2 linked regions of the Macaca fascicularis genome follow. The main gene of each other region encodes a partner of the protein of the gene in region 2 in a complex. Links are inferred from orthologs where the notes say so. Each region holds a gene or a part of one and is shown on either strand. Other genes may lie near its edges.

What was found.
Region 1: the proteins of TNPO3 (region 2) and CIRBP are in contact, whole or in part, in a crystal structure (PDB 8CMK), measured with the Homo sapiens proteins. The link is inferred for Macaca fascicularis from reciprocal best matches to the Homo sapiens genes TNPO3 and CIRBP. Residues at the interface, in NP_036602.1 of Homo sapiens: Arg620, Glu660, Arg661, Cys663, Arg664, Arg667, Phe668, Arg671, Ser698, Cys699, Tyr702, Ser705, Ile706, Asp709, Glu710, Asp747, Asp750, Asp751, Arg754, Arg758; in NP_001271.1 of Homo sapiens: Tyr160, Arg161, Ser163, Tyr164, Asp165, Ser166, Tyr167, Ala168.

The regions. Positions count from the first base shown.
Region 1 is NC_088393.1:1,852,734-1,855,746, reverse strand, and holds the end of CIRBP (cold-inducible RNA-binding protein), read right to left. Parts: intron 2,846-3,013; exon of another isoform or gene 2,785-2,845; coding exon 2,676-2,784; intron 2,573-2,675; coding exon 2,466-2,572; intron 2,383-2,465; coding exon 2,244-2,382; intron 2,163-2,243; coding exon 2,081-2,162; intron 1,741-2,080; coding exon 1,548-1,740; 3' UTR 1,294-1,547; coding exon of another isoform or gene 1,277-1,293; 3' UTR 547-1,276; downstream 1-546. UniProt on the Homo sapiens protein: Cold-inducible mRNA binding protein that plays a protective role in the genotoxic stress response by stabilizing transcripts of genes involved in cell survival. Acts as a translational activator.
Region 2 is NC_088377.1:170,513,783-170,518,176, reverse strand, and holds the start of TNPO3 (transportin-3), read left to right. Parts: upstream 1-1,549; 5' UTR 1,550-1,892; coding exon 1,893-2,012; intron 2,013-4,394. UniProt on the Homo sapiens protein: Importin, which transports target proteins into the nucleus. Specifically mediates the nuclear import of splicing factor serine/arginine (SR) proteins, such as RBM4, SFRS1 and SFRS2, by recognizing phosphorylated SR domains.

The DNA of each region.
Region 1 (3,013 bases), on a different chromosome or scaffold from region 2:
TACCTCGAATTACAGGGCTATTTCCACATATGAGCTAGCCAAGGGAGCAGCTTGCGTCTCAGAGGGTTCTGTTGGGCGCACAACACTTCTGTCCTCCGAGGGCTGCAGCTTCCATAGGCTAGCAGAGAACGCTCAGAACTCGTGAAGCAACAGCAGAACTAGCTAACCGGCTGGCCGTCTGAGGTCGCCCTGGGATGCCACGTGCCTCCGCTCTCTGGCCTGCTTCTAGACTGAGGCAGTCCAGGTCAGCGTCGGGTGCACGTCCACTGTCCCTGCTAAGCTGCCCGCACAGTCCAGCCCTCTGGCCACCACTGCCAGAAGCCTCCCGGGGCTGCCCTGAGGCCTGAGCTGCCCGCTCCCGTCCCCCGCCTGGCTCCCCTACCCTGACCAGCGCCAATCTGCTGGGCCTCCCTTTCTAGCTCTCTCTGCAGGCCCCAGGGAAGGCTTGCAGACCTGCTGCTTCTCCGCCTTCTCTGCTCAGGTCTGGCTGCAGGAGCCTGCAGCAGGGAGTGTGTGGTGCAATGCAAGGGAATTGTCAGAGCAAGGTTCATTTCACACGGTCTTTTAATCGGCTTCGTAAAGCCAAAGAAAACTGCATACAAGAATTCCTCAGCCACTGCAAATACAACATCGATGGAGTATGCGTACGTCTTCCAGTAAAAAAGGACAATATAAATAAACATCTTCAAGAACCTCTCAGGGACGTCTGCACGTCTACTGTGGGGCGCACAGCACAGATGGGCGCAGGGGCCAGGGCTCCAGGGCAGTTGCTGCCACACCCGCCGGGGTCCTACCACACTACACTCAGAAACGTCACATGGAGTTGGAAAAAGCCACAGCTTGCTCAGCTTCCGACAAAGAGCGGATTCACAGTCCGTTCGATCTCAGAGGAGTGAGTGGGGCACCCACTTCATGGGGCCAACCCCACCAAAAGAAAAAAAGGCAACACAACCAAAAACTAAAAAACCAAAAACCCACACAACCCCCGATTTTTTTGAAAACTCATGGCTCGTGGTCAAAAAAGTAAATCTGAAGTGCTTTTCAAAATGTTTTGAAAACCCTTAAAAACAGCACTTCCTTAAAAAGAAAAGTCTAGTAACGAGGCCATCCTGGCGTCAGAAGCGGTCAGGCTGGGTTTGACAAGATCAGAACCGAAATGACTACGAAAGTGGGAATACAAGGAGGTGCGTTTACTACACGTATTAACGTTCAGCGAAGCTCCCACAATCTTTAAACACACAGCCATTGGAAGGACGATCTTGAGCAGGAAGGGTTTTTACTCGTTGTGTGTAGCTGAGGACAAGAAGCAGGCACAGTGTAAAGGCACCGAAGCAACGAGAGGCAGCTTCACCCCAGAGGCCAGACCAGGGCGCGGCCTGCGACCGGGGAGCAACCACCCCCCACAGCCGAGGGAGGCTGGCCTGCAGCCACACATGCACCTATGCTGACTGCCCAGCGGGCCCTCGCTCTCCCTTGCCTTTTTGGTCAGTCTCATTTGGCTTTTGTGTCCTGTGATAGAAATGGCTCTGAGAGGACAGACGTGCCTCTTATAGGCAAGCGCAGTGACAAGATCTGAGTGTCCAGCCTAAAGTGCTTGGAGAAGGTGCCAAGGTGAACCGAGCTCCCACCGCAGGCCACAGCAGCGTGGCACCCTCGGAGCGTGACTTACCGTAACTGTCGTAACTGTCTCTATAGGACCCGCCCGAGCTCCGGTCACTGTAGCCACCACTCTGACTCCGGCTGCAGGATAGACAGACATGAGTACCGGAGGATACCAGTCTACTTTTGCTCTGCCACAGCAGGCTGAGCCGTCAGCCCCCATGCCAGCTGTCCCTTCTGGGGACGCAAGGACCCCAGCAGGGTAGAGTCTCAGAAATCGTCCAAAACCTGCACCAGCCATGCCCCCCTGGCCTTCCCGCTTCTGCCACTGTCTTCAGCAGTTTCTTCTCCTCTTGGCCTGGGCCCCCTCCCGCCTCTGCTCCTTGGCCAGCCAGCCTCATCTCAGCTCCCTCAGGGACCTGGGACTGAAGCTGGCCATCCCACCATCACCCCTGTGCCCGGGTTGGTCTTCACCCCTCACCTGCTATAGTAGTCTCTGGAGCCACCGTAGCCCCCACTCCTGGACTCGAACCGGTTCCCCCCATAGCCTCGGTCCCCTCCTCCTGCATACAGGAAGAAGTGAGTACCAGCTCCCACCAGCAGTGCCTCACAGCATTCCCAAAGGGCCAACTCACGGCACTCACCTCTAGAGAACCCACGGCCCCGTCCTCGGCCCCCACGGAAGAAGCCCCGGCCCCCGGCAGAGCCACCACGGTACCCACGGGATCGGTTGTCTGACGACTTGCCTGCCTGGTCTACTCGGATCTGTCGCCCATCTACAGACTGGAGACCAGCGGATGGCACAGGTTAGTGGGTGGGTGCCCCATCCTCAGGATGGGGCTCCCGCTCAACACCCTGATCCTCACCTTCCCGTTCATGGCCATCATGGCATCCTTGGCGTCGTCAATGTTCTCAAAGGTGACAAACCCAAATCCCCGAGATCTCTGGGTCTCCCTGTCTTTCACAACCACCACTGTGCAGGGGAGAGAGGTCTGCAGTCAGCACCCAGCTGTACCTACAGTCAGGAGGAGCACAAGCCAGCCCCACCCGGGCCGCCGGCCCAGCACCAGCCTCACCTTCAGAGATCTGTCCGTATTTTGAGAAGACCTGCTCCAGCGACTGCTCATTGGTGTCAAAACTCAGCCCTCCAACAAAAAGCTTGCCTTCGTCTGATGCCATGGCGGCCTGTGGCAGACACCAATGAAATCCTCAACAGGGGTCATCTCTCACCACCTCTCCCCGCTTCCTATTTTATGTAAATGACATGTGTTTTTTAGGGGAAATATTAGAAAATCAGGTTATTGTTTTTCATTGTCGGAAACTCGTACCTAGGACTTAAGCTGTCACCCAGGCTGGAGTGCAGTGGTGCAATCATGGGTCACTGCAGCCTCCACCTCCTAGTCTAAGCAATTCT
Region 2 (4,394 bases):
CACAGAGCCTCCATAAATGATACCAGTGCTCTGAGCCACTGCATCAGAGACGTTGGACTTAAGCCATCCTCGGAGCTTCTTGTGTACCTCCTGGGCCTGTTGGGGTGTTGCAGTCTTGCCGGTACCAGTGGCCCACACGGGCTCATAGGCCAAGGTGACCTTGCTCCAGTCCTTCACATTATCTGCAATGACCTTTGTCTGTTCAAAAACAACCTTCTCACGGATGCCAGCTTCCCTTTCACCTAGCTTCTCCCCAGTGCAGGTGATTACTCCGAGTCCCTCTGCCAGAACATGGGCCACTTTCTGCCCAATCAGCTCATCTGACTCCCCAAAGACATGCCTTCTGAGTGCCCCAGGACCACACCACCTATGTGACTCCTAAGTCTTTGACCATGCCAGGGCTGATTTCCCCAGTAAAGGCCCCGTTAGCCACTTTGCAGCAGTTCTGCGCAGCCACAGCAATCTTGGGATCTAGCGTCTGCCGGGCCAAATCGATACAGGCAGTGGGGAGAGCACAAATCACTTCGGTATGGGCAGGCACAGTGGCCGCGTTCTGAGTGCCAATGAGCTCCCCCAGACACTTCTTCCGCCCGTTATCTTCCAGTTCCTCTCCACGAAGAACTTCCTGGAGGGCGCCATGGCGCCGGAGCTGAGGTGCCGTAGGTCAGTGTCAGCGCCTAAAACGGGTTTTAATAATACTTGGCAAGGTTGTTAGGCGGATTAAATGAGCTCTTGTAACTACAGTGTTTTACACATTGTGAGCATTTATCAAATAGCAGTTATTTACTAGTGCAAAGGACTAGCAGCAATGTTCATATTAATATACTGTTAACCTTTTGTCCCCAATTTCTCCAGAGTACAGTTTCCAAGATTTCTGTTTTCTTTTGTGAACTGTTAGACCACTGGTATTGGATTCGGACAGAAAGGCATTCACAAAAATACGGTTCAATGTGAGAATAATCCTAAAGATGTATGCAAAACACTCTGGAGTTAGAGCACCAGGAGCTGTAAGCGGAATGAAAGACCTCTTTTGGGCTTAAGAACTAAATAAAGGGGAGCTGACAGAGATTCTAGGCATTTTGGATTTATCTCAATGTGGCACATATTTCAGGTTTGTAAAATAGTTCAGTTGACTACGTGTCTGTCTCCTCCACTAGAGCCAGCGTAGGCACCATGTCTTAAGTCATTTTGGATCTCCAGTACTGTGGCCACTACAGGGAGAGTTGAATTGACGCGCCTTGATCACCAGGGCAGAAAAGGATTCTCTGGAGAGGGATAGGGAAGTCGGAAGGGGGAGGAAAAACCTGGATCCATTTCCAAGGAGCTGAAGGCAGCTTAGATATGGGACACATCTCGGTGCTAAAGCCCCAAGCTGGAAGCGAGAAACCGAGAGAACAACACCGGCTCTTCTTCCCGGCTCCTGGCCCGGTAGGGCCACTTCCGGGAGGGGGCGGGGAGACAAGAGGAGGCGTGCCGGGAAGGAGGCCGTTTGTAGTGTACCAGGCGGAAGTGTGCCAAAGGTATCGGTGCTGTCGCTTCCGGTCCGGGTAAACGCACCTTAGGTACACGCTGGTGTGTGGCGTGCGAAGATAGGCGTCTGAAGGCAAGTCAGCGAGTGAAGACGGGAGCGCCAGAATCTGTGGACTCAGAAGTCTGGGGTCTAGTGGAAAAACCGGAAAAAAGGCCAGGAACCTGAATACGACCTAATAGCTGTTTCCGAGGGGGCAACTTCCACGGGGAACCTTCTGCCCTGGTAACGGCCAAAGAGGAGGAGATGGCGCCAGTCAGGGAGCTGCCGTGGCCCAGACAGTGAGGAAGCGCGAAGGCGGAGCAACCGTGGAAGCCTCGGGAGAAGAATCAGAGCCGTCGCTACCGCCACTGCCGCCACCACCATGGAAGGAGCAAAGCCGACATTGCAGCTCGTGTACCAGGCAGTGCAGGCGCTTTACCACGACCCAGATCCCAGCGGAAAGGAGCGCGCCTCGTTTTGGCTTGGGGAGCTGCAGCGTTCGGTGAGGGGCCCAGAGAGGCAGTTCTGTGCCGCGGGGCCGGGGCGAGGTGGAACCTAGGCTCCAGGGGAGAACCTGAGCCCGGCGGTTGACCTCGTGAGGTCCTCCTTGGGGAGGAGCTGCTGTCGTGGGGTGGGGCTGCGAAGCTACATCTTTGCCGCTTTTGGGAAACTAGTCGCACCTGATCGGTCGCGAACTGGCCCTTTCCCCACCCGGTGGAATCTGATTTGTAGGTCTTATACTTTTCGATTGTGGCATCGATCTAGTCTTGTTTAAGTTCTGTCTTTGCCGTTGCTTCTTGGGCCGTGCTTTTCCGTTTTGTCTTCCTCCCACCAAATCCAACCCCAGTGTTTCTCCACCTTCCGCTTAAGAATGGTTTATTGGTCTCCTCTCCGTGTCCAAGACTTGCATCCGGCAATTTCCTCCCAGTCGTAGCCTTATGCCTCACTCTTTTTGCCTGTTTTCACTCCAGTTTGAGTCTGTTCTTCTCGAAACTTCTCAGGTTTCTAGATTCTTACTCGTGCGAGTTTTCCCCTTGCTTTGGAATGGCAACATAATATGAAGAAAAAATATTAATTCTGCGTTCAGAAAATCTTTGGAGTTCTAATTTTATTTCATATTAATCCTCTAACCTTGTTATTTCTCTGGCTTTTAGATTTTTTTATTTCTAAAATGGGTATCACTGCTGCTTTGATTATTCCATATAAAACTGTATGTGCATCCAGTGAGATATTTAATTGTAGCTTATATCTATTGTATTTCTGCATTCGTTGATTCATGTTTTATGCTTCCTTCCCTAATTTTCACACCTTTGCTGTGCTTCATTTCTGTGTGAGTGTGTATTCTTGGTGATCTGGCTGACTTAGGTCCTAATGTAGTATGCACTTTAAAAATTAAGTACTTTGAAAACAACTAAAGAAGCTTTTTTACAGGCTGACAAAATACTCACCTTTGCCTTTATTTTTGCATTTTATACTAACAAGCATATTTTTTTGCCCCTCTTCCCTTTAACTCATAACTGATACTTAAAGGTGCTCTGCCTTATTAAATCAGCTCCTAGACTGCAAGTTCATGATATTTAAAAATTTGCAACTTTGACTTTTTAAAAATCTGGTCTTGGTATGGAGCAACTTTGCCTTTTTTTTTTTTTTTTTTTTGAGACAGAGTCTCGCTCTGTCGCCCAGACTGGAGTGCAGTGGTGCGATCTCAGCTCACTGCAACCTTCTCCTCCTGGGTTCAAGCGATTCTCCTACTTCAGCCTCCCGAGTGACTGGGATTACAGGTGCCCGCCACGATGCCCGACTAATTTTTTTTTTTTTTTGAGACAGAGTCTGGCTTTGTCACCCAGGCTGGAGTGCAGTGGTGTGATCTCGGCTCACTGCAACCTCCTCCTCCCAGATTCAGGTGATTCTCCTGTCTCAGCCTCCCGAGTAGTTGGAATTACAGGCGCACGCCACCACACTCAGCTAATTTTTGTATTTTTTAGTAGAGACAGGGTTTCACCATGTTGGCCAGGCTGGTCTCGAACTCCTGACCTCAGGTGATCTGCCCACCTCGGCCTCCCAAAGTGCTGGCACTAGAGGTGTGAGCCACCGCGCCTGGCTGCAACTTTGCCTTTGAATATTAAACTTAAAAAATTGGTGCCCAAGTCCTCGTTAGAAAATAAAGGAATACGACTCACTGTAGGCTACACAAGAAAATCATTCACATATGGTCTCATTTAGTGTTTCTGTGATCTCTGGAGAGTCACAATTCCCTGATCTTCGTTTAGTTTTCTAAAGTATAAATAGGAGAAATGCTACACTTCACTGCAAAAGTCCTATCTTTCTAATTAAACCTGCTTGTTGTGTGTATTTTAAATCAATATTTGAGTGCTTACCATGTGCCAGCAACTATGCTGGGTGTTTGGATTTGGAAATGAACTAGAAAAAAATCTCTGCTTATCACGGAAGGTGGTTGTGATTAAATGAGTTAATATTCTACGAAGAGCTTAGAAAAGTTCTTGGAACATAGAGATTAAAATGTTAGCAATTGTTATTTAAATATTAGTCACTTTTCTCTCCTTACTTTCCACTACTCTATTACAACCTTACATCATCTTCACAGATGGGATTTCCCATTGGCCAAACCCAGCCGGAAGCCAGGCGACACAGTGACCTATTGGTAAAGTCTATACAGGTCAGCCTATTGGAGCAGAAAACATGACAGAAGAGGGTGGAAAAGTGGATCTGGAAAATATCCAGCAGTCACACTTCATGTTTAGGCAACTTCAGCATCTGGATTGACAGTTCAGCTAACATTTTGGCCTTTTGATTCCTTTACCTCTTCATTCTCTTCAGTCACCTGGTCACACAATCACACCCTGGATCTTGTCTTTACTAAAAA